4 linked regions of the Alligator mississippiensis genome follow. The protein of the gene in region 1 binds, or shares a complex with, the protein of each later gene. Links are inferred from orthologs where the notes say so. Each region holds a gene or a part of one and is shown in the gene's direction. Other genes may lie near its edges. The genes, in order: PRPF6, SART1, LSM8 and LSM5.

What was found.
Region 2: PRPF6 (region 1) and SART1 share a complex: the UniProt entries of both Homo sapiens proteins name them as parts of the U4/U6-U5 tri-snRNP complex. The link is inferred for Alligator mississippiensis from reciprocal best matches to the Homo sapiens genes PRPF6 and SART1.
Region 3: PRPF6 (region 1) and LSM8 share a complex: the UniProt entries of both Homo sapiens proteins name them as parts of the U4/U6-U5 tri-snRNP complex. The link is inferred for Alligator mississippiensis from reciprocal best matches to the Homo sapiens genes PRPF6 and LSM8.
Region 4: PRPF6 (region 1) and LSM5 share a complex: the UniProt entries of both Homo sapiens proteins name them as parts of the U4/U6-U5 tri-snRNP complex. The link is inferred for Alligator mississippiensis from reciprocal best matches to the Homo sapiens genes PRPF6 and LSM5.

What each region holds. Positions count from the first base shown.
Region 1 is NC_081832.1:2,898,849-2,905,669, forward strand, and holds the start of PRPF6 (pre-mRNA-processing factor 6), read left to right. Parts: upstream 1-3,804; 5' UTR 3,805-3,811; coding exon 3,812-3,981; intron 3,982-4,280; coding exon 4,281-4,449; intron 4,450-6,522; coding exon 6,523-6,641; intron 6,642-6,821. UniProt on the Homo sapiens protein: Involved in pre-mRNA splicing as component of the U4/U6-U5 tri-snRNP complex, one of the building blocks of the spliceosome.
Region 2 is NC_081838.1:4,483,655-4,491,671, forward strand, and holds the start of SART1 (U4/U6.U5 tri-snRNP-associated protein 1), read left to right. Parts: upstream 1-5,003; 5' UTR 5,004-5,088; coding exon 5,089-5,503; intron 5,504-5,770; coding exon 5,771-5,828; intron 5,829-7,078; coding exon 7,079-7,134; intron 7,135-7,698; coding exon 7,699-7,825; intron 7,826-8,017. UniProt on the Homo sapiens protein: Plays a role in mRNA splicing as a component of the U4/U6-U5 tri-snRNP, one of the building blocks of the spliceosome. May also bind to DNA.
Region 3 is NC_081827.1:48,187,886-48,195,557, reverse strand, and holds the start of LSM8 (LSM8 homolog, U6 small nuclear RNA associated), read left to right. Parts: upstream 1-4,655; 5' UTR 4,656-4,754; coding exon 4,755-4,785; intron 4,786-5,440; coding exon 5,441-5,481; intron 5,482-7,672. UniProt on the Homo sapiens protein: Plays a role in pre-mRNA splicing as component of the U4/U6-U5 tri-snRNP complex that is involved in spliceosome assembly, and as component of the precatalytic spliceosome (spliceosome B complex).
Region 4 is NC_081828.1:129,629,908-129,637,882, forward strand, and holds the start of LSM5 (U6 snRNA-associated Sm-like protein LSm5), read left to right. Parts: upstream 1-4,969; 5' UTR 4,970-5,024; coding exon 5,025-5,070; intron 5,071-6,527; coding exon 6,528-6,623; intron 6,624-6,851; coding exon 6,852-6,879; intron 6,880-7,975. UniProt on the Homo sapiens protein: Plays a role in pre-mRNA splicing as component of the U4/U6-U5 tri-snRNP complex that is involved in spliceosome assembly, and as component of the precatalytic spliceosome (spliceosome B complex).

The sequences.
Region 1 (6,821 bases):
TTTGGGATACGCCAAAGGAGGCAATTGCTTGGCCATGAAACGGCAGGAAAGAGCTGTAGTTTAGAGCTGGATGGCCTCGTGTGCAGTTAGTGCATAGAAAAGGGTCCACCCAAAGTCTTTGCTGGATGGCTGAGGGGGTGAAAGTGCATGTGCTGAGCCCCTGTGTAGGACTATGTGGTCCAGAGGCAGTTTCCACTGGGCATCTTGCTCTACTATGGACTGATTGTGCAGCAGTCTCTATTTAATGCCTTGTGTCATCAGGGAGCATCTGGGAAGCAACCCCAACTGGGCAACATGAACCAACGTGGGTCGGCCATAGGCCATTCTTGATGGGGTGTGACATTAGGGGCATTCCCGAAACACTGTGACCAGAATTACCACGTGCTCCCGAGCTCTCAGCAGGGCCAGGGTACACTGATGTTGAAGAAGTCCTTGTTGGTAGGTGCTTTCTGGCTACTACACATCCAGTCCTGCTATGCTAGCCCGGTGGGATAGCTTGCATGCATTTAATTTTACAGGATCACATATGCATGCTGCAAAAGCAAAATAACTGGGTGTGGGAGGGACGCATATTAAGAGGCCTGTGTCATGTGAAGTCCAGGCAGCAGGGGATGAGTTGGAGCCAGAAGAAAAACTGTTGATCTGCCAGTGGGGACAGATCAATCAATCAAAGCCCACCTTCCCTTGCCCACAGGCATCTGCTCTAGATTTAGTAGAGAAATGAAAAGATCCAGTGTATTCAAGCAGGCATTAGGCGCGGAGTCCCAAGCACCAGAGAAGATGTAGTAGGCCATAGCCAACTGTATTGCCCAAAAGAGCCACTTTGGATGTCTTCTAGGAGACTGTATCTGTGCACGCTTTATTGCTTTGCTGCCCCACAGCAGCAGGGGTTAACAAAGCCCTGAGCACAGTGCAAATAATAACTGCTAACAGTGACAGCGATGACAGTGATTACAGCCTGGACCCGAGGAAGACCGAGCCTGCCGGGGTCCTGAAAAGAGAGCGCTGTCTCATTAGGCGTGACACTCTCAACCCGATCGGCATTCAGGCAGCATCTCCAGCGGCGTCACTCTTCTCCACACAGTCCTTCAACCCTTGATCAGCGATTCAGCTTCAACCCTTGATCAGGACCCCCTTCATCAATTATTCACTGTCCTGCTTTCCATCAGGGGGGTAGCAGAGCCAATGTCGGGGCTGGAGGGGGTGGAAGCGGGGACGGACTATGGCAAGGCTTGGTTTGTAGGGGTTCACGGCCTTTATCCCCATCCCTTCCAATCACCCCTTTTTGCACATTATCCCTTCCAGTTCCTCTCCCCCTTCCTTTACATTCAATGCACGGAGACAACAACAAACCCTCCAGCGCAATGCAAAATTGACTGTTCTACAATTTGGGGCTTGCTTGGAATGGGGGGAGGTCAGGTCACGCTTATTCTAGCATCCTCAAAGTCAGCTGCGATGTTTAGTTCCCCCCATTTCTCCTACCCCAGATATAACCATCACCAGAAAATCCTACACAGATAGCAGCATACCAGTTCCAAACCCTCTTCAAACAAGAATAGATGCCTAAAATTGCTCTCTGGCAGTACAATAGCAGTAATTTTCATGGCACTGAAGCATGCTTGCAATAAATGGTGTTTGCTGTTGATTAAATGCCGTCGCTCCGCTTCAGCATTTAATCAAGTACAAGCTCAGCTTATTGCTTTGCATACTCCACCGCCATGGATATTATCCCTTAAATAAGCAATACAGCAAAATACAGCCACGTAGATTAAATTTAACTTCATAGAGAGAGCTAAGATATGAAATTGATTTTCTTGTAAAGGCCTGATGAGAAAGTAGTGCACTTGAGGTACAAAACTAGGCTGTGATCATTAGGGTGAGGAGTGTATCGAATTTTACTCAAGTTCTGAAGACTTTTTTTTTCCCCCTGTGAGTTTTGAATGAGTTCTGGGAAGTTGTAAAGCCTGCTGAGGCTGCATTGGCTCTCAAGCATTAAGGCAGACTCGGTCTGAATTCCACGCATGGACATTCAAAAAAGAACCGATCTGAGTCTCTTTTTTTCCCTGTCTTCAATTATGCACCTGAGAGGTGATTATTTAATGAGGGGCAAGTTAATGTGCTAAGTACTCCACCTGGTGGTATATACAAAACCGGAACCAAGCAGATTTCATGGGGGAAAGCCTCTCTGCTTCTCAGGAGGTACTGAAAAATCTCTGATAGCGGGCAGTGGTCACTTTAGACCTACGTGGTGTCTTGTGGAGACCCATCCACCAGCAGCTGGAACTCCAGTGATATTTCCAGCAGAGCTGATGTCCAGTTTGGCTCTGCTGCTGTCACTCAGGCGAGGATTGCTTTAGGAACGCACCATTTTTTAAAGAAGCTGGGCTAAGCATCAAGCAAACCAGGGTGGATTTAGTGGCATGCATTGAACACGTAAAGTGCATGGGTGATGTGAGCACAGGGGTTACCCTGCTGCACCGTGATGCAGAAGCAAATGCCCTGTGATTACAAGTTGGTTGTAATCGTGTTCGTCTAAGGACGAAGGGCGGTTGTGCCCAAAAGCTTGCAAAGAACAATTTCCCCAACTATTTAGTTGGCCTAATACAAAAAATGTCACATCTACTCAAAGAACCTCGTCCGCCCGTGATGACGATGAAGCTTTCCCCACCGACCTCTGAACAACGTGCGTGCCTCCCGAGCTCTGATGGAGTGAGACTCCTCAGCTGGGTTTCAAAGGGGTTTCCTTGAAGGAGGGTCAAACCCTCTGTGTAGCTGAACTCCCCTTCTTATGAGGTCCTCCTGGACTTTGCAAACTCTGTGTTAATAAGGCCCTTCATCCCCATGAGAGAGACCCCCTCAAAGCCAGTCGGCAAATGAAGCCGCATCTCCCAACAAGTAGCACAGATCTGTGTGCCGCAGCGCTCATGATGCTAAAAGACTCCTGGGCTTTGTCTGTGCATGGGCTGCCAATGCTGCTTCTACCCCTGAGACCTGAAACATTGGTAGCAAGCCTGGGAGGGATTTCCCTATATTAATACAAGCACGGCCTCTGTCCTTGGTCCTAGGTAGACCTTCCCCGCAGCATGGCTCCATCGCCGTGCATTGCAGGCCTTGGGGATGAATGGTGCAACCCAGGCTGGGGGCCTATTCGACGGGCCAAAGGGAATCGTGGGCCAATGAAATTATAAGTCTTAATAAGGGAGGTCACAACCGATTCCTTGGGACAAATAACCAACAGGGCCAAGCGGGAGGTCACAGGTTGCTATCAAGGGAGCCAGAAGGCGACACAAAGCAGAGCACCCCGAGCAGCACCCGTACGCACCGAGGGCTGGAGGGATGCCGTGCACGCAGCATTATCAAATCTCATGATTTTTGGCGTGGCTTGTAAAAGTTTACGCGTCAGGAACATGCAACAGCGTAGCTCCTTCATATCCATTTATATTGCTAATACTTATATAAAAGAAAGAGCTGCGGTGACGCGTGAACTTTTACGACAACTTTAATCACAAAAGTTGGCAATGTTGCGGAGCCTGACCTCTGCCATGTGGTGTGTAATGCACATGCATGTTACATGCAGTGCGTTGCAAGGGGCATGCCTGCAGTGGGGGGGGGGATGCTTGTTTGCAGCAGCAAGCAGCAGGCACCTGCAAGCAGCCTGAGCCAGGCGCGCATGCGCACACTCCACTCACAGCCAACCCCCTCCAACATTCCATCCCCCCTCCCCTCTGCTTGCGCCCCTCGGCCCGGAAGCCCGTAGGCGGGACTTCCGGCCGCGGTGCCTGCCTGGGTAGCACCGCCTCCGCTTCCCAAAATGGCCGCCGCGGCCGCTTCCTCTTCCTCTTCCTCCTCAGGCGCGGGCGGCTCCAGCTCGGCCGCTCCCTCGGGCTTAGCCGCCGCCATCACGGGCACCATGAACAAGAAAAAGAAGCCGTTCCTGGGCATGCCCGCGCCGCTGGGCTACGTGCCGGGCCTGGGCCGCGGGTGAGCCCTCCCCCCACCCCTCCCCGGGCCTGGGCGAGGCGAGGGGGGGCTGCGGCGCCTCTCAGCGCCCGTCGGGCCTGGTCCCGCGCGTTTAGAGGCACCAAACCTTGTGAGGGAAGCCGGGCAGTAAAAGCTCGGCTTCCTTGCTCCACCATGGTGTCCCTTGAAGGGGGGGAGCTGCTCCTGCACAGTGTGTTTCAGCAGTGGGGTGCTGCACTTGTGAACGGCTGGATTGTTTTGTTCCTCGCCTTCGTATTATCGCTGCAGACTAAATCCTAGCTGCTGGTCTCTCCGTTTAGCGCTACGGGCTTCACCACCCGTTCGGATATCGGCCCGGCGCGTGATGCCAACGACCCGGTGGACGATCGCCATGCGCCGCCGGGGAAGAGGACCGTCGGGGACCAGATGAAGAAAAACCAGACGGCAGACGACGATGACGAAGATCTGAACGACACCAATTATGATGAGGTGATGCTTCTCCTGTCTGACGGGGGGGGGAAATGTAATACCTCTCTCCCTGCCTCCCCCCTCATCCCAAAAACACCACACAAAATCATCCCGACGCCCTGTGCCGTGCTATGTGAGGGAACAACGGCAGAGCCAGTTCGCAGCACCCCTTGCCACGAGTTGCGTGCGTGTGTCATGCCGCAGCGCGTATGGGCGTGTTTTTCCGTGGTGATATTTGCACGTTGCGGTCGGGCTGTTTGTACTGAGCCCAGGGGGTTTGGGGAGGGATGTTGAAATACAATATCAAGGTGAGTGCTTTGTGGACCGTTCCTCTGATGCTTCTCCAGAAACGAAGTCGAAACAGCTGCTTTTTACCCCATCGTTGAGATGATCCGGTCCCAATAAAAACTTGCGTTTAACTCAGTAAAATTGACTCGTACTGAGATACAGCGTTGTTTGTTTTGCATTTGTTTTCAATAGTTAAACATTTCTGCTAATGAAACGTTTATGCAATTATCACTTACCGAGAGGTTTTTGCTGATGAAATTCACTACTATGATAGGCTGCTTTAAGGCTATTTTAGTTGCATTTCATAGACGTTGGGGCTGGAAGGGACCTCGAAAGATGGTCGAGTCCAGCCCCCTGGCCCAGAGGCAGGAGGTCAGCTGGGGTCAAAGGATCCCAGCAAGATAGACATCCAAATGTCTCTTAAAGGAGTCCGGAGTAGGCGCTTGCACGACTGCTGGCGGCAGTCTGTTTCAGGCCTTGGGGACTCGGACAGTAAAGAAGTTCCTTCCTTGTGTTCAGCCTGAAATGGTTTTGGAGGAGTTTGTGACCGTTTGACCTTGTCATCCCTTGGGGCGCTCTGGTGAACAGACGTTCCCCCAGATCCTGGTGTTACACCCCTTATAAACTTATAGGCAGCCACCAGGTCCCCCTTGAGCCTGCGCTTTTCCAGGCTGAAGAGCCCCAGGGCTCTCAGCCTGTCATCATAAGGCCTGTTTTCCTGCCCTCCGATCATGCGCATGGCTCTCCTCTGGACTCTTTCAGACCTCTCCACATCCTTTTTAAATTGTGGAGCCTGGAATTGGATGCAGTACTCCAGCTGCGGCCTCACCAAGGCCAAGTACAACAGGAGGATGACATCCCAGGATTTGCTTGAGAAGCATCTATGGATGCAAGCCAGAGTTTTGCTCACTTTACCAGCTGTGACATCGCACTGGTGGCTCATATTCATCTTGTGGTCGGTCAATCCTGACCCCCAAGTCCCTTTCAGCTGCGGTGCTAGCAGGTGTAACACTGCCGAGCCTATAAGCGCGATGCGGGTTTTTTTGCCCGAGGTGGAGTACCTTGCATTTTTCAGTGTTGAATGCCATCAGGTTTTCATCCACTCATTTTCTGAGCCTGCCCAGGTCAGCCTGGATCGCCCTCCTGTCCTCGGGTATAGACGCTTTACCCCAAAGTTTAGCATTATCGGCAAACTTGGCCAGTCCGCTTCTGATACTAATGTCCACATCATTAGTAAAGATGTTAAACAGTATAGGCCCAAGGACTGAGCCTTGGGGGACTCCACTGGTCACGGTGCACCACAGTGATTGACTTTTATTGACTACCACCCTTGGGACTGGTGAAAAACTGACGCAAAATACCTATTAAGCAGGTTGGCTTTTTCCTGGGCATTGGTTGTCAGTTGTCCCATATGGTTTAGCAGGGGTCCAGTGTTACCCTTGCTTTTCCTCCAGGTCCCCACATATCTAAAAATGGACTTTTTATTGTCTTTGATACATGTAGCCAGTTGGAGTTCAGTCGCAGCCTTGGCTTTCCTGGTTTGCACCCTACAGGTCCAGACCAGTGCAGAATACTCCTTTGAGGTGGATCTAGTCTTCCATCCTTTATAGGTCTTTCTTTTTAGATGCAGGAGGTCTACAAGTCCCTGCAGAGCCAAGGGGGCTGATGTGCTGTGCCCTTTTGCTGCCTTTTTACTGTTAAAATTGTCTCTGAGGGGTTTTCTTTCTCTTGAATGACTGTATTGGCTTTGCTAGATGTGTAACTGAACTTTGAAACTAAAATGTTTTGGCCCTTTAAAATTTTCAGTTTAATGGCTATGCTGGGAGCCTGTTCTCAAGTGGTCCTTATGAGAAAGATGATGAGGAAGCGGATGCTATTTATGCAGCATTGGATAAGAGGATGGACGAAAGGAGAAAAGAGAGAAGGTAGGCTTAATTATGGAACTTCAACAAGGCAGTGTTTTGTAGTTATGGTATAAATCTAGGAATCAGTTCTTCTGGCTTCTCTGTTGTTGTGCTGCCTTGCTCTGTTACCAGGGCAACATTTTCAAAAGTCACTACTGAATCAGTGTGAGAGAACTTTCTGCTTCAAAAGTGCTTGGTATG
Region 2 (8,017 bases), on another chromosome or scaffold:
ATCTGACCTTTGGACCCCCTAGCTCTTAGCTCCAGCTGTTATAAACCCCCAGCTCTTATAGGTCCCCTATAGAACCCCCAGCCTCTTTAGTTCCCCTGTGGGCCCTCCCCAGTCCTTATAGCTCCTGAATAGACATGAGGCCCTGTAGATACCCGTTAGCCCTCATAGATCCTCTATAGATCTCAACTCCTATAGAATTCTATAGATTTAGTCCTCATATTACCCTGAGCTCATGTAGATCCCTTATAAGTCAGGCTTTAAACTAAGTACAATGGGAGATGGGGAGGCAAGAGATGGAGAGCGTCTAGAACCTACGAACTGCAAGCCATGCAGCAGTGCACCCTAGGTACGTACTAAGGGGCCCTTTGGGCATCAGAACAGCGGGGCATCAAAGGCACCATTCGGAGGGCTCAAGTGCCTCTATACTAATGCTAGGAGCATGGGGAAAAGGTAGGAAGAACTCACAGTTCCGGTTGCAGATAATAACTTTGATTTAGTGGGGCTAATGGAAACCTGGTGGGAGGGACCCTACCCATGACTGGGTGGTACACATTGAGGGCTACAGGTTGTACAGAAGGGACAGAGTAGGGAGGAAAGGGGGTGGGGCTGCTCTCTATGTAAAGGAGCATTATACATCCACCCTAATCAAAATGGGATCAGAGAAGGAGAAAGTAGAGGCATTGTGGGTTTGGATATGTGGAGGTTGAGGGGAAAAGGACTTGGTGGTAGGGGTCTGCTACAGACTACCACACCAAGAGGAAAAGCTCAACTTGGAATTCTTGAGGCAACTCTCAGAAGCCAAACGGTCTAGGGACGTACCCGGACATGTGCTGGGAGAAGCAGTCAGCCAAATCCAACCGTTCACGTAGGTTCTTAACCTGCGTGCAGGACCTCTACCTAACGCAGGTGCCTCGGTGTTCCTGAACAGGGCTCGAGATAAATCTCCCAATGGATTCTTAGACGGGCATCAGAGGGACACCAGCCTACTAACTGTTGACACTGACTTGGTGCAGAGTCACTTGGATGGGCCGGATGTGTTCAAGTCAGCAGGCCCGGATGGGCTGCATCTGAGGGTACTGAAGGACTTGGCCCATGTCATAGCAGAACCGCTGGCTTGGCTGTTTGAGCGCTTGTGGCACTCGGGTCAGGTCCCGGAGGACTGGAAAGGGGCCAACGTGGTCCCTATTTTCAAGAAGGGGAGGAAGGAGGATCTGAGTAATTATAGGCCAGTCAGTCTCACCTCCATCTTTGGAAAGGTCTTTGAAAAGATCATGAAGGATCATATTTGTGGGAGTCCAGCGGGAAAAGTAATGCAACAGGGCAGCCAGCATGGATTAGTAGCAGGTAGATCATGCCTGACCAATATGGTTTCGTTTTATGACTGTGTAAAAAATGCTTAGATGCAGTAGAGGTGGATGTCGTTTTCATGGACTTTAGCAAGGCCTTTGATACGGTATCTCATCCTATTCTCAGAAATAAATTAAGAGGCTGTGACATAGATGTTTACACGGTTCAGTGGGTGGCAAATTGGCCCAGCGGTCGAACCCAGAGAGTGGTAGTAGATGGGTAGGTATCGACCTGGATGAACGTGGGTAGTGGGGTCCTGCAGGGTTCAGTCCTTGGACCTGGACTCTTCAATATCTTCATCAGTGACTTGGATGTGGGTGTGAGGTGTACTCTGTCCAAGTTTGTGGATGATACTAAATTGTGGGGTGAAGTACACACTCCGGAGAGTAGGGAACAATTGCAGGTAGACCTGGAGAAGTGAGAAAAGTGGGCAGTACACCATAGGATGCAGTACATCAAGGACAAGTGCAGAGTGCTGCACCTAGGGTGCAAAAATATCCAGCACATCTACTGCCTGGAAAGTGACCCTCTCAGCAGCACAGAAGCAGAAAGGGATCTTGGAGTCATAGTGGATCCAAGATGAACATGAGTCGGCAGTGTGACGAAATCATCAGCAAAGCTAATGGCACTTTATCGTGCATCAGCAGATGCACGACAAATAGATCCAAGGAGGTGATACTTCCCCTTGGTTGGACAGTTGGAGTACTGCAGCCAGTTTTGGGTGCTGTACTTCAAGAAGGATGTTGATAGACTCGAGAGGGTCCACAGGAGGCCACTCGTATGGTCAGGGGCTTACAGGAGAAGGCCTACGAGGAGAGACTGAGGGACCTGGACCTCTTCATCCTCTGCAAGATAAGGGCGAGAGGTGATCTTGTGGCCGCCTACAAATTCATTAGCGGGACGCAGCAAGGGATCGGAGATGCTCTCTTCACCAGGGCACCTCTTGGGGTAACAAGGAGCAGTGGTCACAAACTGACAGACAGCAGATTTAGGCTGGATATCAGGAAAAACTTCTTCACGGTAAGGGTGGCCAGAATTTGGAATGGACTGCCGAGGGAGGTGGTGCCCTCCCCTACCTGGGGGGTCTTTAAGAGAAGGCTGGATAGGCACCTGGCTGGGGTCATCTGATCCCAGCACTCTTTCTTGCCCCGGGCAGGGGGTCGGACTCGATGATCTGTTGAGGTCCCTTCTGACCCTGGCATCTATGACCCAATAAAACCCTAAAGATCCAACCCCTACACAGCCCCTAGCCCTTATATGTGCCCTATAGAACCTCCCCACCTCTTATAGCCCCGTGCCCTGTAGACCCCCAGCTCTTACCCTGTAGACATCCAATCCCTAAAGAATCTCTAGCCGTTACAGATGCCCTATAGAACCTCCTCAGCCCTTACAGATTCCCCCTCCTATAGAACCCCCAGCCCTTATAGAGCCCAGACTATAGAAGCCAAGCCCTTAAAGATTCCCTATAGGTCCCAGGGCCTATAGACACCCCTCAATCCTTATCAATTCCCTACAGATCACAGCCGTTCTAGGAAAACTACATGGCTCCTGCCAATAGAGAACACCCAGCCTTTATAGATCCTCTGAGATTAGCTAGCCTCTATAGACTCTCCGGCCCCTACAGACTTTGCCAAGAAATCCCAAGTCCTATAGACCCCTGCAGGAGCCCAAGCCCAGGGCAGGAGGGTCTGCAGGGGTCCCCTGACAGCTGGGAGGGTGGGGGTGGCACCTGTAACCTGCCCCCTATGTGACTTGCCCCCCCAGGTCTCAGGAGCGGGCGCGCATGGCGCTGTACAAGGCCCAGCTGCGGGAGATGGAGGCTCGCGTGAGCAGCCGGCCTTACCTCTTTGAGAGGGTCATGCAGGTGCGGGTCCCGCCCCGGACACCTGGGTGCTCTCGTGCTCTGGGAGGGGCGTGGGACTTGGGGGGTTACAGCTGGGGCGGCTGGGAGCTGACAGCCCCTGCCCTGCAGGCCGGTGCCCGCCGGGCCATAGAGCACCGCTTCTCCCAGGTGCTGGAGGCGCTGGGCATCGAGGAGGCCGGGCTGTGGAGGCAGGCGGGGCACCAGGGCCCCCCCTCAGCAGGTATGAACAGGAGCCCCCTGCCCGGACGCCTGGGTTCCCTCCAGCTATCGGAGAGGAGCAGGGTCTGGTGAATTAAGGGGGGAGCCCGGACACCTGGGTTCTCTCCTTTGCCATGGCGGATGCTGTGCCCTCCTGACAGGTCTCCGCGGACAAGGGCCGAGACCCACCTCTGGATCCACCTGAGAAGGCCCTGGAGTAGCGTAGCTTCTGCCCTGAATTAAACAGGCCTTGGGAGCCGGGACACCTGGGTTCTCTTCCTGCTTGGGGAGGAGTTGGGGCTGGAAGCCGGGATGGCTGGGCTCTCGAGCTAGGGGAAGGACGCGGAGTCCGGGGGCTGGAAGCAGGAGCGGGTTCTCTTGTGCCCTGGGAGGGGCGTCGGACTCGGGGCTTAGAGCTGGGATGACTGAGAGCCCACGCGCCTGGGTTTTCTCCCAGCACTGGGCAACCAGCTGGGAGGGAGACTGAGCCACTGCAGGCGCTGCCCTCATACAGCGCCAGGGGGCGCTGTGCTGCAGGGGTGCAAAATCCACCCCCACGATCCATCAATGGTACATGCCATTAAGGATGCACCAGACTGTGCGGATTGTACCATGCCTTCTTGGTGGGGAAAATCAATCTCCCCCCTTCTGGATCATACCATCTCTTCCTTCCATTGGGAGAAAGGACATTTTCCTCACGCTTCTACTTACAATGGTATGTCCCTCTGTGCCTACAGAGCAGTAGGTGGGTCATGCCACTTTTTCCTCTGGGGGGGGTCTAATATTCCACCCCTTCTACTACCAATAGCATTTCCCAATATGCATCTAGTGCAGCATGTGGATTATACAATCCTATCCACTCCCGAGGGGAAATGTTTCCTCCTTGTACTCCTAATAGTATCCCCCCGCCCCCCACGCCTACAGACGAAGTGTGGGTCATACCATTCCTTTTGTAAAGGAGAGGGGTAATCGCCCCCTTTGTACTGCCAATGGTATTTGCCTGTACGCATCCAGAGCAGCAAATGGATAACACCATCCTTTCCCCTGGGGGGGGGGGGGAATCTTTCCTCCTTATACCCCGATATGATTCTCCCCCTTCCAGCATACGTGGGTCATGCCACTGTTCCCTGAGTAGGGGGATAAGAATTCTCCCTATTCTACCACTGATGTGTTCCTACATGCCTCGAGAGCAGTGTATGGGCCATACCATTCTCCGCCTTTTAATGGGGGGAGTTAACCCTCAACCCCAATTAAGGTAATGTTATTTAAGGCCTAGGATGAGTAGCCTCCCTCCACCCCTCAGGGGCACTCCACCCCCGCTTCCACTACAGGAATGGTACAGTCCGACGGCGGCTGGGCACAAGATAGTATTTAGCGGGAGCCAAAGCGGAAGTAGCTTTCAGCGCTCTCCCACTTCCCGGAAGCAGGTAAGGCTGGCCACTGGAAGTGGTATGACTGACCGGAAGTAGCGACGGTAACCACGGAAGTCATGTGACTGAGCCTTCCCCACGTCCACCGGAGGTAGTGGCGACGAACGCGGAAGCCGTGTCCTGACCTCGCCGGATGTAGAAGCCGTGACCCGGAAGGAGTGTTTCGCGAGACGGGAAGGGACGTCTTTCACCCCGGAAGCGGCGGGAGGTTGACCCCGGAAGGGTTTGCGGCCGCCATTCTGCGTCGCTATGGGCTCTTCCAAGAAGCACCGGGAGCGCGGGGAGGCGGCGGCGGCGCCGGGGGCCGGCTCTGGGACCGCCGGGGGTGGGGCGGGGCCCGCGGAGGACCCACCCCCAGCCTCGGCCCCCGCCCCCGCCTCGGCTTCGGCCTCCTCCTCCTCCTCCTCCTCGCGGCACCGGGAGCACAAGAAGCACAAGCACCGCGGCGGCGGGTCGGGCTCCGGGTCGGGCTCCAGCGAGCGCCGGGGCAAGCGGAGCCGCAGCCGCGGGGAGCGGAGCCGGCGGCGCAGCGGTGGGGACGAGGCCGCCGCCCCCGGGGGCAGCAGCAGCCGCGGGCATGGCCGGGCCGGGGAGCGCGGGGCCGCCGAGGCCGAGGGCGGCAGACGGGCCAAGCGCGAGCGGCGCGAGGACGGGCACGAGACCGGTGAGGGGGGCGTGGGGGCGGTGTACAGGAAAGGGGGGGGAGTGAGGGAGGGGCTGCTTTTCGGGGAGCAGGGCAATGGGGAGGAGTGAAGATGAGGGTGGAGGCTTATCTGTGGGGTGGGGGTCATGGGGTGTCGGGAGGGGGCTGTGAGGAGCCCGGGTCTGTGGCAGATCTGACGCTCGGGCTGGGTCCTGGCTGGGAAGTTCCGGGCAGAGGGGACTTCTCTTGGCTTCACTCACGTCTCCCCCTTGCTCCCCTCCGCACCAGCCACAGCGCTCAAGAGCGGCTCTGGAGAAGCCCTGTCCCTCAGCATTGAGGAGACCAAGTGAGTGAGAGCTCCTTTCCCATCCCCCCCACCTTCCCGTGGTGCAGTCGTGCCTCACCCCGTGGATGCAGGTGGGGTTGGGGCTGGGGTTGGGGGGGGCTACAGCTCTCAGGCGAGCGGGGCGCAACACCTCGCCTTTGTTCCAGTCCCGCCTAGTTGCCCTCAGCTCATGGGAAGCCTGTTTTGCCCCCCATGGGTCAGGTCTTGGCAAGTGCAGCTGCCCTGAGGAGGGGCTATGAGCCCTGCTAGGGGGGTAGGCACTGCTAGCCCAGACCCCATGTTTCCCATAATAATCTTGGGCTGAATGGATCTCGTTCTAATGGGGTGAATGGATCCAGTTGTTTGTGAGATCAGGCAGGGAGATTCTTTGCTGGTTGCGCTGTGCGCTGCCCTGAGCAGCGCAGCATGGGCAGGAGGGAGGAGGAGGAGCTGCGGGGGGCAGGAGCAGCACCTGGGCGGCTGCAGCAGCCCTGTTCAGAAGTGGGCCCTGGCTGGGGCCGGGGCAGCTGGGAGCGCGGCATCTGTTGCCCCAGGTGGCAGTGGACAGGGCTCAGTCCCCTGCGGGGCACTGTGGGGGCAGCTGCCAGCCAAATGGGGTGGAGTGGGAGGATGACTGCAGCTGCACCACCCCGGCGGGGCAAGCTCTGTTACATGTGTCCCCTGTACCCCCCCCCCAACCTTTCCTCACCCCCAGCCAGCTCCTGGTACCTAGTGCACAGGCAGCCCACCTCCACATGCACCTCACATCCCTCCACACCCACTCCTCCATGGATACCCCCCCTCCCCCACATACACGTATCCTCCTCAACACCCTGCTCAGACAACATACAAGAGTAAGATTTTATTTTTGAGCTATTATACAGTTGCCTGTTTTTGTAGTACTTGAAACGGAGACCAGGCTTAAAAATTATTTTTTGAAATAAAACTAAAATGCGTCATAGTACATGCCTGGGTTTTTGTATGCAATTTTTGTCTCTGACCTGTTATGAGATGCAAAAGATTTAGCAGGTGTGGTTCTCCAGAACTCATTACCTAGCCCTCTAGCTGAAGTCATTGCCCACCCCTGGCTTACTGGGTTCCCACCACCCTGATTCATTAATACTCAGTTTAATAAATAGTGTGACACATCAGTCTTGGTCACAGCCCCAATGTACATGAGGGTGGATGGGTCATGAAGGAGGGGAGCTGGTCCAGGAGCCCTGGTTCTGAGCCCCAGGCACTTTGTGACTGTCACCACTTTCTGTCTGTAGCAAACTCCGAGCCAAGCTGGGCCTGAAGCCCTTGGAAGTGGGCACCATCAAGAAGGGTAAGTCTGTATTGAGCATGCCTGGGGGGAGTGAACCCAAGCACCCAGCCTACCAGCCCCCCTACTCTAACCCCTCAGCCCCCACTTGCCTTCTGGAGCTAGAGAGAACCCAGGTATCTGGGTCCGAGTGTTTGTCTTTCCCTACCTCAGCCCCCACTCCCATTCAATAGCTGGGAGAGAACCGAGGGGTCCGGGCTCTCTCAACCCCTGCTGCAATCCCCCAGGCCTCATTCTTATCCTTGAGCTGGGAGAGACCCCAGGCATCTGGTTTCCCAGCCCACACTCCCTGCCCAGAGCTGGTGAGAACCCAGGCATCCAGATCTAGCACCCCCTGCTATCACCCCCCCCACCCCCTCACTCCACTTCCAGACCTGGAGTGAATCCAGGTATCTTGAGTTCTCAGCGCCCCCGGTCCCTTCCCATCTCCTGGCTGGTGCAGTCCCGGCCCTCCCAGCCCTGTCCCCAGCTGTTCTCTGTGCTATGGGTTCTTGGGGGGGCCTGGGGAGGGAGTCTCAGGGGGTCCAGGGCACACCCATATTTCATGTATGCTCCCCCCCCCCGCAGAGGCAGGCACCAAGGAAGACCCGATGGCGGCCGATGTCATCAACCCGATGGCACTGCGGCAGCGTGAGGAGATCCGCGAGAAGCTGGCGGCTGCCAAGGAGAAACGCCTGCTCAATCAGAAATTAGGGTAATCTCACCCCTTTGCTGTATCCCTGCCCCCTTGCTGTCTTGGCCCTGGCCCACATCCCTTCTATCCTGCCCCCACCCTCGCACCCACTCACCCAAACACAGCGGCATCCCTGCTTTTGTCTCCCAGAGCATACAAGTTCTAGGGGCAGAATCCAAGAGTGTTTCTTTGCAAAGAACCGTGGGATATCTG
Region 3 (7,672 bases), on another chromosome or scaffold:
CACAATCACCATAATAACAGAGCTTCTCACTTGCTCAGCTCTGAAGCTTTAAGCCAGCCACAAGGCTCACAAGTCTCTGGGGTATGTGCTTGCTGGCCCACTTACAGATGACTTGGTCAGCCCTATCAGTAGTCATGACAGTATTCCCATGGCCAAACAGCCCATGAGGAAGCAGGAGAGTGAAGCTTACTCATGACTGCAGACACAGCCCCAGGGGGATGTTTAGCTGCTATATTGGTTGTATATCCTGCTAAAGGTCACAACAGCTGTCCCCATGGCAACCTCAGATTGCTGATAAGCAGGTAGGGCAAGTGAATGTTCTGGAAATCCCACCTTTAGGCATCCATATTTTTAATCAAGAAGGGAACTTCAAGTATTCTTGTTTTTAAAACACTGATTAATAAATAATATTTACATGTAAATGTAGCCTTTACTCAAATGAAGGTAAGCACAATGAGCAAGTAAATATATGCATGACAGCATAAAACAAAGGGATTATTAAAATAATTTATTTGTTAGTAATATAAGAGCTTGATGGCAACTGTATGTCTATGCAGTCATTCAGTATCTTCCTAGGAACAGGAGGAGCAAAGTGAATCAATTGCAGCTCCTGTCCTGAGGCTGGTGCTGTTGGCTACAAATGTCCAACTTGGGATCCTTAAAATTCTGGTTTATTAGGCGGATTGAAACACTGTAATGAGTTAAATCATAAACCTTGGGGCTGGTCCTTCCACACACACACACACACACACACACACACACACACATGCACACACACAGTAGCAAGCTACAAGAGTCAGGTATACCTATCCTACAAGCGCTGGAGTCTGCCGTCGATGGCCAGTCGAGGCTTCTTTCAGTGTGGTGTTATCTTCAAGAAGGGGGTTGCCGGCTGGTCCTTCTGGCTGGACGGGTCGGGTGCTGGTCAAGTGGGAGATCAAGAGGGCGCCCCTGAGGGTCACTTTTCACTGCTTTTTATTTGTCCTTGGCAGACTTTGGTGATTCCCCAGTTTTCAGGTTTGCCCAATCCAGGGGTCATTGACCCTCGTGGGACTTCCCCCCTTGGTGGCTACTGGATGGCATCTGTCAGCCCCAGGGGTTGTCCGCATGTACGTGCAGGTTTGGAAGTCCATTGATGAATTTTGAATAGGGCTCTGGGAGCGGTCGATTTGGAGATATTCAGCCCAAAAGTTGGTCCCCGGCGTTGATTAACTCAGGCCAGGGCTTCTAGCCCTTGAACAGTGAGGTTTAGAGATTTCCCGGTTGTTACATTGGCTTCTATTGATTTCTTCCGTTGGTTGATCTGCAGTTTCCCAGGTGTTAATTGCTGCCTGCTACAGTGTTACACATTCAATCACTGATTCACTCCCTCTTTCAGGGGCCAGCCTGATACAGGGAAGCCAAAGTTTGACTCCTGCCCTTATTAACATTGCTACTAAACACATTTATAGTTGAAAGTTGAAAGGTGAGCAGTATAAAATATAAGCTACAAATGCCATTGCACACAAATAGATAAAAATACCAAAATACACGGGGAGATACAAAATGCACACATACAATTTTTAAAACACAATTCCTTATCTTAAAGTGAAAGAAAGAGGAAGGAAGAAAAGGTAGAAGAGGACAAACTTATTCAAAGAGGGGAGAGCAACTGCAGGCAAGAGGAAAAGGGGGCTTTCTGCTACAGTGCTACACTGCTGGTTCTAGCCCTAGAGGACCATCTGCCAGCCTTGGAGAACCAGAGCCCAGGGCTGTTTCTATATTTTATATTAAGAAGATACAGAAATAGTCCTGGAAAAAGGAACCTGGTAAACTTGGACTCACTGCAGGTGTATGTCTAAACTATGAGGCCACAGTCTTGCTCCCTCCCTTTCTGTACTCCCATTTCTGGCCCAATGGATCCTCAATTATTTTTCTGCACATCAGCATGAGGGATGGTGCCCTTCTATTCCCAGAATAGCCTATGGTCTGTTGTTTGGGTATAGTCCTGAGAGACAGGAGATGAGCTTAGTCCTTTGAAGGAAAGGACGTAAGTGTTGACCTTCAGCAGGTTTTAGGACTATGCATCTGAGTGGATGAAGACACCGGAGGACTAAGATTTAATACTTGCTCCTGTTCTCATCTTTTCCTATTGGGAAGCTCTAGGTTACTGTGTATGGCATCTGTATTTTAATACCTCTTTTGAGCTGCCTATCTCTCCCCTTGTTATTCACATGAAGCCCATGTACTTCCCCATAAAGGTATGGGGACCAGGCTCCTATGAATTAGGTACTGCAGCCTATGTTCTATATGGGCTCTGGTCCGTATTAGTTCAGTCCCCATTTTGCAAAACTAGGTTAATAATTCTTGCCTACCTTATAGGACATGGCTCAGCAGCCTATGGCCTGCAGGCCACATCCAGCCTGTGGGTCATTTGATCCAGCTTGTGGCTGTGGAGCATTAGCAGTAGTTGCTTCCCCTGTCATGGGGAAAAGCAGTGGTGGCACCTCGGTCCCAACTGGATCACTGGCCTATAGCCTAAGCAGGCTACCAACTGCTGTTACAGATTTTTGTTAGGATAAAAGTACATGAAAGATTTCTAGGTGTTAGTATACTGTGGCATTGTGGGCCATGTACATTCTTCCCAATGGAAATCTCATGGGATTCTGACTCCTACAGGGCACTTAATTCTTGGCCGTCTCAAAAAAATTATTTTTATTAAAAGAACGACAGGTACAAAAACAGAGAGGGAAATGTCATGACACAAAAATGCCTTTAGCTTCTTAACTGTAACACATTATAATTAATTCCAATCCTTGTCTAAGGTTTAGTGGCAGCTCTTAAGCTTTTTATAATAAGAGCTTTAAGAGGCTGAGCATTATATAAAGCTCAGGCTGCAAATATATTTGTGCAGTACAGACTGGCATCTTTTCCCATGTTTCTGATTGGAAGGAGAACATAACAGGCCCTCTGATTTTAGAAAAACAAGTTTCTCACCTACTACTGAAGTGCCAGGACCTCTTTGTACATCTATGGTTTTTTTCCCTCTCTCCCTCAAGTAGTTATGAAATTCAATAAAAGAAATACTCATCACTGTCATTTTAATCATTTTCATCACTGTCTGAAAAAGGGAGGACCCCAAACTACCGTAAATGGGAGCTAGACAAAGCTGTTTAATTTGCATCAAAGTAGCTCTATTTATCCAGTAAGGCCTTAACTGAAGGGTATGGCAATAATACTAATGCAAAACAGAAGAATCCAGCTTGAATGCTTACACAGACAAGTACTAAAAAGTTAAGAAGTAACTATGCAATTGCAATGTTGAAGGGCCCTATCTACATTACACATATTATGCAATTTACTGGTTAATTGTGCAATTCATTTAGACCGGCTACAGGTGTAAAGTAACTATCACTCCATAAAAAACATCCTTCCCTCTATAAAGTTAGAGCTTGAGGCAGGAGATGAGCTTATTTCTTTGAAGAAAAGGGTGTAGGTGCTAACCTTCAGCAGGTTTTAAGACTACACCCCCAGTAGGTGAAGACATTGTGTCATAACATTTCCCCTCACTGTTTTGTACCTTTCCTTCTGCAGTCATGAAAGTGTTCCCATGGCGGAGCAGCCCCTGAGGAAGCAGGAGGGTGCATGTAGTGGGGAATACTGCATGACAGCTATGCCCCCTCAGCTGAGAGCCCCACAGCTCCCAGGCCTCCCAGCTGAGGGGGTGCCCCACACTGCCGTGGCAGTGTCCCGTGCACTGCACCAGCGCTCTCAGGGGGTGCACATGCATCCCCATGCACCCCCTATGTGTCGCCACTGGATGGCGTTAAGGTGTGACTGGCAATAGGGTGTGAGTGGACCGGATGCTGGGTCCCAGACACACCTCTTGCCTGGCGACTGTGTGGGTCATACATCAGATCCCATCACACCTTTCCCTAGACATCTGAAGGGGCCCAAATAGTGTTGCCAGGTGTATGATAATTTCAACTCTCCTACGATGTATGATCAGTAATAATAAAAATGGTTCAAAATGTACAGTCATTTTTGAGAAAGCTAATTGAAGCAGCGTATGCAAAAGGTAAGTCACTCTCAGGGAGTCTTACCAACTTTTGGTTTTGCTTTCAGTACTTTCATATTACTGCTTGCCTCAAAATAAAGAGATGCTTCAACTTTGATGACCCAGTTCTCACCCATTCACGGGCAGTGAACAATAGAAAGTAAAGTAAGAAAGAAGACTTATTTGCATACTGTTTCAGTGTACAATAGTTTTTCAGCAAATACGATAATTTTGGGCTTCCAATAAAATAATTTCAGGGGTGTAGGCTGTAGCTGTGTCGCTCTGAGGACATAAGCAGACAAGGCTCTGGGTAAATCCGGTATCTTTCATTAAAGCCACTGAAACTGTTGGACGAATTCTCCCTGGCAAGCCAGCCCCGCCCGCACGCGGACACGTGACGTCAGCACCAGCCTCTGGCAGGAGGGAAAACCCAGTGCGGCACAGCGCAGCCAATTCCCCGGGATCACGCATGCGCAGTAACACCCCCGCGCTTTCTTGCCGAGGCGCAGGTTCGTTTCAGCGCATGCGTATTCAAAACCTTCCCCCTCCCCCCCGCCCCGGTCCTCCAACGCGCCCAGTGTCGCGAGAACAGAGCACAGTTGGCGTCAGCTCCGTTTCCAGAGCGCCGCACTTCCTTCCGTCACCGGAAGTCATTTGCTGCGGGCTGTCTCGCGGGAGCCTGTAGCCGGGGCCGGTGCGGGGCGCGGGAGCTGCCGCCATGACGTCCGCCTTGGAGAACTACATCAACCGTATCCCTCCGGGCCTCGCTCGTGTGGCGTCATGGGGGGGGGAGCAGGCGGGTGCGTGCGGGACGCGGGGCAGCCGGGCCCTGGAGGCAGCGGGTCCGCGCTTGGAGCCCCCATCCGGAGCAGGCTGCGGCGAGGGCGGCGGTGCTCGCGGACCGCCCGCCTCCTGCATCCTCTCGAGCGGAGCCCAGCACAAGGCCGCGCGGGCTGGGGCTCTGTGACCCGACTAGCGGGTCTCACACCTTGCACACAGCCGGACTGAGCTGCCCGCGGGGCCTGTGCTGCCTGCCGCACCCACACAGGCAGCTGGGGGCCCTGTCTGGACCAGCCCCAGGGTCAGGCTGATAGGGCTGCTAGCAGTACATGTCTCCTGCCAGCCCCACACACCATGTGCCAGGCCAGCCCCGGAGTGGGGCGCGCGCTGCTGCGTGGGGGCTGTGGCAGGCGAGCTCTGCGCACAAGCTCTGGCCCGGCCTGAGCCCTCCAGCAGACAGGCCCAGCAGTCCTCATCCTGCACATGGGAGTAGATGAGTTTGACACCTCTAGTTTGGAACATGAAATGGCTTTGCATGGTTTCAAGGCCAAACATTTGAAGGGGGGGGCATTATGTATGCAATGTATTGGATTTTTTTAAGTGTTTCCTTAATGGGCCCGCTAGGCACTGTTGCTGTAATTACCTCGGATGGAAGGATGATAGTGGTGAGACATTTCTTCTTCTCAACATCATGTTGCGTCTCCTCAAAAGTCTTTAGCAACCCAACAGGCAGCACTTAGGATGTAAACGTCAACAGTCAAACCCTGACAGTGTGTGCAGGACCACCAAAAGCGTGTGATATTAAGTGGGGTTGACAGTAGCAGGAAGCGTACACCAGGTGGCAGCAATTGAAGGAGTTCACAAGATGCAGCAAGTTATAAAGACCCATTTCTGTTCTAGAGTCGCACGTTGCACTAGGGGCCACAAAGCCTGTCTACTTCTATCTGTTCATTTTATGAAGGGCTGTGCCCCAACTCTAAATAGAGGGGCCAGGGTTTATAGCCTGCTCCTTTGGTGTATGTTACAGAAGTTCATGACAATACACCTGACACATTTTCTTATCTAACATAAGATATGAAAGAAACACCACAAACACAATCTGTTAAAAGTTAAATAATGATGAGCTGAAGGTAAAAGAGGCTCTATAACTGTGCTCGCAAGTTGAAAAGTAGCTTCAGCCCCTCTGTTCCATCCTCCATTGCTCTCGTAATAAAAGCCTCAATAATAGAGTTGAGTGTGATATGAACAAGAGTGATTGAATATAGTTTATTGGAAGAGATCCCTTTCATTATTGCAGCTTGTGTGCTGTGCCTTATCACCTGAGGGTTTAGCACTTTTTAGCCTGTTAATTCCCCTCTTCTGATAAACTTGTAAAAGCAAATATTTTCTCTTGGCTTCTTATAAAGTTGGCCTGCGGAATTCTGGTATGTACTGTGTATATTGTTGCATCCATTCCCATTTATAGTGAGAAGGAACTTACTCTACCAAATTCTGTATTTAAGCATTATGATTATCATTAAACCAATCAAAGACTCAAAGTTTCTATTTGTGTTCTGTTTCTTAAAAGTTCAGTACTTAGCTTGACTGTTAGCTTTTTTCTCCTGAAATTCAGTCTCTTGTAATGACCTAAGACAAATTTGAGGTGTGATAAATTAAAGGTCTAGTTGGTTTGCTTTCAAAATGATGCAATATGATAGTGTTATTCGTCACTGAAATTGATATGCCAAGCATCTATCGTATAACTTGCACAAAATGTTATCCAAATTTAGAGAACATTGTTTTCAGCTTTCTGCCAGGCATTGCAGTGTGGCAGCCATTTTAACATTTTTGAAGTACCTCGATTTATTTTCTTAGTATTAACTATTAGAAATGTTTCTGCTAATTTAAGCACATGTGACTAATCAACAAACTTTTATGAGTTTTCTTGCTTGTAAATATAAGAAAAAGAGATTATATGCTGTCAGTGATATGCTAATAACTCTTTATTTCCTGGTTCAGTACAGCATCCTGATTATTTTGTATAAAGCCATAGTCTGAAACCTTATTATTGAACATCTTCACTTATGAGGAAGCCAAATGTGATTGGCTTGGAGTACTTTCTACCATTACAACTCATGCCCTTATTTTGCCAAGCCTGTTCCCCATCCTTCAAATCCACTCTCAAGACTCAAGCTGTACATTGCTGAGAACTGTCAGGTTCTGTGCCACTTCCTGTTTAGCTATGTTTTCCTCTCATAGCTACTTTGGATTTTGTTTTCCCATGCCCTTAGGCTGGATGCTCCGTGGGGGTGAGGGTATGTGTGTGTACAAAGCCCATACAGACACTGATTCTGATTGATTTTCTTCTCTACTAAAATAATTTAAGAGTTATTGACTGTACTGTGCATCAGATACTTTATAGCAGTAGTGCTCAACTTCTGGCCAATAGGTGAGATCCAGCCCATGTGGCCATATTATCCTGTCTCTGGGTGTCCCCTGAGGTCCGGAAATGTGGTGGCAGGGGAACAGCAGCAGCGTTAATTGTTTCTTCTGTCCTGTCAAATTTCCAGAGCCATGGGGAGCCTTGTGGGCTGGATTGAACTAGCACGCCAGGGGTTACTTTACAGCTGGATTTACCTGCAGACCAGTCCCTTGCTGGATCAGGCCAGAGGACTGACCACTTGCATGGGATGTGGTACACAGAGCAGCTCCATGCCACTTATCTGGCTTGTGGGGTAGGAAGGCTGAACATCACAGCTCTACAGTAACTGCCTGTTTGTATAATACGTGTAGTAAGTGGTGGCTAACCTGTGGTAACTCATTTCTCTTCCATTGAAACTAAATTATTATGGGTTAGTTTCTGCTTACCATGGGGTA
Region 4 (7,975 bases), on another chromosome or scaffold:
TAGGGTGTGAATCTCCTATGCATCGTCAATGATTGTTTTGTTACTTTTCTGTAGTTAAAAAATGAGTGAAAATGAAGAGCTGGTATCTTTCAAGGGGTGTACTGAGTCTGCAAAGGTTGAGAATCACTGTGCTCTACCTCTAAGATTAATAAGTATATAATATGATCCCTGTATTTCAGATAGCCATTTAACCACTCTGCCTCATATCCTCTAACTGAAGGCCACAGAGAGTGTGTGTGTCAGAGAAAGAATTAAAACGTAGGCGATCTAGGCTCCTCTTGCTATGCTCAGACAAATTGATCTCTCTCCAGGTTAAATCCTGTTCCTACTGAAGTCAACAGCAAAACTCTTCAAAAATACAGCTGTGCAAGACCAGGCCCTTAGTTATTGAGGGATTCTGTTGACATTGGATGAAAGGATTCTTTCTAAAAGCAAAGAAAAGGATAAATGCTCCAGGAAAATCTCATCATTAATGCAATCCATGTAGACTCCAACTATAACAACAGATTAAAGTCTGCAATTACATAATATTCATCAGCTTCAACAAAAGTTCCATTACATAAGAAATATATTTTAGGGAACAAAAGACATGCTGTAAGGAACTATTCCACACTGGTAGGTGAATGATTACTTATTAGGTCTTTTCAATCACACAGTTCTCTATAATGCTTAGAATAAAGCCAGGAAAGAAAAACATTTATGAAATACTGCCATTATCTTCTCCAGTAATGTGCTATAACCAAAAAGAAGGGCTAGAAACTACCTTTCATATTCAGTTCAGCAAAGAAGAGGTATAGTCTGAGACTGTTTTCACTAGTTTGCAGGTTGTCATAAGGAATCATCTAAGTGAGGTTCCTGGATAAATCTGATTATTGTTTATGAGAGAGGGTTTTTTTCATTGTTTGAAATTCTCCTTCCTGCTAGCTGAGGCAATAAAAAGAACAAGGCATTGTAGAACAAGATGTCAGCTTGTGTAATAAAACAGGAAGCCTGCTGCTGTATTTTAAAGCAAATTGTTGCCATACTCTGTGACTTTTCCATGGTTCACCCTATGTAGCTATGGGCACTTGTGGAAGAGGAATAGAGGTCTGGAAGCTGTCATACACTCAGGTGGAATAATGTCAGGCACAAACTGCTCTGACTTTGTGAAATTTTTCACTCCCTCTGCGCGTAGCTAAGTAACAAAGCACAAATTAGTAACATAGTTCTCCTACCTGCATTGTAATATATTACAGGATAACTGTCAGCAAGTGCAGCATTGGGAAAGTAATAATGACAATCAGGATCAGCTGACTTGATTTTACTTGCAGTGAGACTTGAAACAGATATGCTTTACATTAATAATATGATTAGGAACACATTTCCATGAGCAGTGTGACATTCTTTTCATTGAAGTCTCAAGCATCCATTTTTGAGATAAAGGCTTAATGCACCAGTGACTTTCTGCAGCTTTTCTGTTGGAAAACATTTGACTATGCTTTTGCATTTATCCTGCTTATCTCATGGCAGTGTTACCAATTTACTGTGTAGATATTTATATTTGGGTCTTCCTTAGACAAATTGTGTGGATGTTACAGGAGAGGTGTGACAAGGTGACTTGTCAGGTTTAGCCCCAAGTGAAGGAAAATAAAAGCACAAATGTCACATGATAACCATGTGACTAAAATCCAGGTTCGCTGGGATTTGTGAGCAGCTTGTGATGAGACAGAAGAACTGGTAGAAGACTTGGGGAGTGTGAACTCAAGAATTAGTGCTAGGTGAAGAATGAAAGCTGTTCAGTAAGGTTATGTCTATACCACTTCTCTCTTGACTGGGAAGTAAAGCTTAGTCAGTCACTGCTGCTGGGGGATACCCAAAGCCTGCAATTAGACAATGCAAATGCTAATGAGCGATGCTGAGCTTTTTTGAGGGCATGAGTGCAGACTTGCTTCAGCCCTATTTTGCAGTTTTATATTGCCTAATTGCAGGTATTAGATGTGACCCACTGGGAACAAGTGGGCACAACTAACTTCCCCAGGAGCAGATGTGGGTTCAGGAGAGAAATGGTATAGTTATGGCTTTAAAAGCCATGGAGACTATAGTCTGTGTTAGTCAGGGGAGTTGCTTTGTTTTGATACTATTTATGAGGCTTGTGCTGGAACAATAAATTGTGCCCCAAGGTAAATAAAGCCTTGAAGTTTTTTACTAGTTCCTTTTAGGGTTGGTAAGAAAGCCACCGGCCCAGGAACCTAAATGGGAGATGAGAAGAGTTAGCAAGTTTTACATGATGCACGTCTAAATGTTTTGCAGAATTTTGGAAAATCACAACTTGTTTTCTCAAACATAAGATCTCCATTTGGATATTGGAAGGTTTAAATCTTTATCATTTTCCTTCGTAGTTGAAGGAGCCCTCATTTCATCTCATGAGTGAGATAATGGGTTTTCCTGTTCAAGAATAGGAATGTAATGTCAGGAATATTGCCTTTGTATGTCTCCTTTGTCTATAAAATTATAAATCCCCTATTCTAAAGACATTAATGAAGTGATTCTCAGCCATGGTACCATGAAGTCCTTTCAAGGGTGCTGTGGAGTGCAACACAATGTTAGCACTGGTAGGTGTGCAAACACATATTCATGCTTTACAAGATAAACCCCAGATAGGAATCCATCGTGTCAAAGATATTCTGACCTGTTGTGGTCTTTGAGTTCTTTGCCACAGAAGAACTTCTCTTTAATTTTTCTGTAGTCAAAAAAAGAAGTGAAAGCTAAGAGCTGACATTTTTCAAGTAGTGCCTTGAGTCTAAAAAGGTTGAAAACCACTGCGTTAATGTATATTTCCAAAGGCTGCAGTAGCTCTAAGTGATTGCCAACATCATCATTTGAGTGAACTTCACATGAGAGTGCATCACCTGGATTGGAGGGGTGTAGGTTGTACACCACCTAGATTGTGCATCACCTAGATTGGTTAATTCAGTTTATAGCATGTCCTATGTAGGAACAAGCTGGTACACAATCTTTTTTAAGGCTAATAATCCAAAATGTGAGCACACAACTGAAAAGTGATCCGTAATGACTTGTATATCTTTCTAGGAATGAATAACCAAGACAGTCAGTCACTAACAAACAGAAGTTCCTGGGTGAGTCCTCAATCACACTTGTTTTTGCTTGCATCCAGTTGGGATTAAACTATCTTTCTGTCAGTCCGCATTCTAAACTGAATACCTATATTAAATTCAGGCAACAGCTAGTAGCTTGGCAGTTAAGACATTAAAATTGTGGGTGTGAGGATGCAGCCTTATTTTACACCATTTGTTACTGAAAATGGATTGGAGGCATCATGCTTGTCATTGTCCCATCATAATATTGTCTATTACAGCAAACTTGTTGGGGCATCCAAGAGAAGCGTCCGTAAGCCTTCTCTGCTGCCAGTGTTAACTGTGTTTTTAAGATCAACAGAGATACAGTAGAGGTCAATATCCTGTTTTCTGCATTTCTCTTTATATTTGCTGTGTAAAGATCCTACCTGTTGTGCCTCTCCCTTCTCTGAAATTGCTTTGGTTATACGACAAATGTTTCTCAGCTTTATGGCAACTAAAGTCCATCCAGTAGTAAAACAAACTCCAGGTTCTGTTATCTTCTTTGGACTGATCACTCCAAAAGAAATGTAGGCCATCCCAGACTCCGTAGGTTGACCTTCTCCTGTAAGGCAATTTTCACTTAGCACTAGTGTGTGGTTTCTATAGATGCTTGATTTTTCTGCTAATCATTGCAGTTCATTCTGGCTTAAGTGTCACTGTAAGTGTGTGTATGTTCTGGATCACTTTGTTCAGAGAGGTAAATTTGGCTTTATTTTCACTGGGATACTTATCGGCTGTACAGGCTGACCAGAATACATTCAAAGCAGGCAGCAATTAGGTCATTTTTCTAGCCCCTTTGTCGGACCATAGACGTGAGTAGTGCAGTTCTAAAAAGCTAGCTAGGAAGGTTATTTACAGCCTTTCCTAAAACAACAGTATTAAAAAGGGCTGGTCAGTGTTCTATGGGGGGCTGCTAACTCCACTGCTCCCTGATCCAGCCAAAAAAACCCAACCCCCACAACTGTCCATAGGTTTGCATCTGAAACTCCCAACTGCATTTTTACCTGCACCTTGCCTAACCCTGAAGACTTTCACAGGATGCAGAAAGTTTGCACAAGGTGAGAAGAACTGCAACTATCTATGATTTGTGCTCAGCCGACCTAACGCTTCCAGTGTTGCTCATCAAGGCCCAGCGACAGGAGAGAACACAGTCAAATGCCTATAAACTTAATTATGCAAAAGGCAAGAATTTCTTAGGGTGATAGCTTTTCCTGGAGCAATTATGTAGTTGGCATAAAGTTAGACGAGCTTTCAAACGCAAGATATTCTTCCTCAAGTCTTGAAAGCTGGTCTAACTTTATTTTAACCCAACTGGCTGATCCAATAAGAGCGATTGTTCTAAGAAATCCTTGCTTCTAGCAGACCCTCCGGGCTACGACATCACTCTTGCACTTTTAGCCACACTTTTAGCTTCTCTCATTTCTTGGAGTCTCAGTCCAGCATAGATAGACTCCCTGTGCTGGAAGAAGGGTGAATGCAACCGAAAGCTTGCCAAAAACTTTTTTCTAACTACTTGGTCTAATAAAAGATGCCGCATCTACCCAAAGAAACTTGCCTGCCTTTTGCACTACCATAAACTTAATTCAAAGTGAGAAAGTATTGCCTCCTGCTGCCACGGGTCCCTCCAGACTGTGCAAAGTGGCTGACTTAGGGGATCTGAAAAGCAGAGCATGCACAAGTAAGGACGCAGCGTCCTCTATGCAAGTCTCCCTTGGTCAGTGCCCTGCGTGGCCCTGGGGCCAGAGCATGCGAAAGGGGCTTGGCAAAAGGTCTACTTAATTGCTCCAACATCGATTGATTGAGTCTGGCGGGGGAGGGGGCGCTCCAAGCCATTCAGCTCGCTCCTTCGCATCTCGCTCGGCTTATTTCCCCTTGGAGGCTGTGCGATTGAGCAGGTCTGCTTCCAAAATGGCGGCCAACGCGACGACTAACCCGTCGCAGCTCCTGCCGCTCGGTGAGTGGGTTTCCGCTAGGGTCTAGCGGAGCGGGGAGGAAGCAAAGGCTCTGGTTTCCGCGGGCTCTGGGTGCGTGGGAAGCGCTAGTACTGGCTACAGGGATGGATGGATTGGAGGAGGGGACGAAGCGCGAGAACTGTTAGACCGTTTGCGGGACGCGGCTGGGGGAGGGGAGTCACGTGAGACTGCGCTGCGATCGCGGCTCCCTCCCGGCGTGGGTGGAACGATGATGACGTACGTCGTACGTGGAGTGCGCAGGCTGGGGGGGGGGGGAGGGTGTTACGTGACGCGTGGGAGGGGCGATGCTGCAGCAGGGTGGGGTGGGGACTCTGGCTGTCACTGGACCGGCCGCAGGGTTGTTGTGTGTGTGGAAGTGCTACTTCAGCGGCCCGTTGGCTGTCTGCAGCTGCTTGGTCACTTTTTTATGCTGTGCTCATTACTCTGCACTAGTGGCCAGGCCACTTATTGCACATTTCACCCATGAGTTGTGCAGTATAGGTAACGCGTAGATGGGGCCACGTAAGGATGCAGCTCCCCTCTGGAAGATGTCTGTCCAAAGGCATTTTGGCCTGTAAAAGGTTTCCTCCCATATGCTTCTCTTACAGAGGCAGGAGGGAAAAACGGAGCTCCCAAACGATCCCGTTCTTCCCTAGCTAAAATTCTGCTGTCCCAAAGATTTTTTTAAATGTGGATTATACCTTCTAAGAATGTATTATTTAATTTATCTATCTTTGTTAATGGCAGCACTGCTCAACCTTTGGGACCCTCAACCTCATCCCAGGCCGGATGCTGCGTGGGGTGGTTGTTTTGGACTGGCTGCATGCCAGCCTGACCCCTGTCTACCCACTCTGGCCATGGGCTGGCCTGACCCCACGTGCCTAATCTAGCCGTGTGCAGGCTCAGCCCTGCACGCAGAGCCACAGCATCCAGCTTGCCAGGCTTTTCCCAGGTCTGGAACCTTAGCAGTAGGAAAGGGGCTGCTAACACTGCTACTGCTCCAAATTTTGGGGCCTGTGCAAAGACCTATGTGCCAGATGACATTACCTCATGGGCTGGTGGTTGAGCATCACTGGTTAATAGGATGTAGAAAAAAATGTAAAGATTAAATGTAAACATAAACCCTATGTGAATTGTTATTTAGATTTCTATGCAGCTGGATCTGGAAAGTGCTTAGCATGTTGGGTACTGTTGAAATTGATTATCATTAATAGTAATATTACTAAAACTTCATTCCAAAGTGGGCTCGCTAGGGTTATATAGTACTCGGTATGCCCTTGTGTTGTGTATATAACAGTGGATATCCAAACAAAAGCTATTTTTATATGTATTGGTCTGTCAATGTTTCTGGCATTCTGTTTGAATGTGCACTTGTTTATCCTCACATTCTGTAAAAGGTGAACATTAAAAATAGATGTCCATTTATTCTATATGATGACAAATGCTTTTAAATTTGCAGAGCTTGTGGACAAATGTATAGGCTCACGTATTCACATTGTGATGAAGAGTGATAAAGAAATTGTTGGCACGCTCCTAGGGTTTGATGACTTTGTCAGTATCCTTTACATGAAACATTTTCAGGGTATCAATTTTTGTGTTTGCCTCTTCAATGCCTTTACATGTGTTTTAAGTTCTTTCCAACCTCCAAACATTTTTGCACTGACAAATATGCTACTTGAAGTTGGAAATAAAAAAGGCATGGCTTTTGTTATGAAATGAAAATAAACTTCAGTTTAATAACTTTATGTTTTCTGTAGTTTTATTCCTTGATCCTAGACTTCAGACATGGTTTTAGAGGATGTTACAGAATTGTAAGTATTATATCTTTCTTGGCTATTTTAACTTCGTTGTTTTCACATGCCGAAAAATTCTAACAAAAGAATATATACTGATTTCTGGAAAGCAGAATTCCTATTTGGAGGAGGATGGTGGGGCATGAGGCTTCTTGAGTCTGGTGTGTGTGGTGGAGGGAGGCGGGGGAAGATCCTCAAGAAAGTGCTCACTGTCACAATGCCCTGTAGAGCACTGTGGGAAGGTGGAGAACCCAGACATCTCCTGTCATGCTCTGCAGAGCATGCCACTGTAGTAAAAAGTGCTTATGGAAATAATCTTGTTGGAAACAAGTACTATTGAGGGTTCCACCATTTTTATTTTTGTTTTAGTACATTAAAAGAAGTACATGCCTGTTTGGCTTGCTCTTCAAAGATAATTGAAGCATCTCAACATTACCTCTGTCCGCACCCCTAAGCCTCAGTTTGAAAGTGTATATATTACTGTCCAGTAATTTTTCAGTCACCTCTTAAATGACTATATTAGGAGCGTACAGCTTAGGATCCACAGGCAATGCTTATCAATTTATCCTAAAAACTACTCCTGAAGAAAGAGAAAAAATTAAATATAAACCTTTCTCCCCCCAGTTGTTTGTTTTTTCCATATTTGACTGAGTCATTTGACAGTTAGTTATTATTCAAGCTAGGGCATTGTCTGAAGATCATTAACTCTGGGGCATGCCATTTTGAAAGTTTTATGTCCTTCTGCTCTTGAACATGTTAGGATTTTGGTATGTGACTAGAAGGGTGAGGAAGATTGGCCAGCCTTGAACTGTGCATTTCTGGTGGAAAAGTCAGTGATTGAGCATGGATACCTCACCAGTATCAATGCTATGTACGTTCTTCTGTGGTTGAGAGGAGGCTTTTGTTTTGGCATTTTTTTCCTAGATGGTAGCTGTATGTACCCTGCCAGCTACTGTGTAGTGTAGAGATCCCTAACTTAGTGTTAAACAAGTTACCTTGGGTACCTGAACCAGTTTACTCATGGCACCAGTGAGCTCTTCTTACCCTGCTGAAAGCACTGTTGATATTCCTTAGTGTTTGCTACAGAAAAGAGTTTCTGTAACTGATGTGCTTA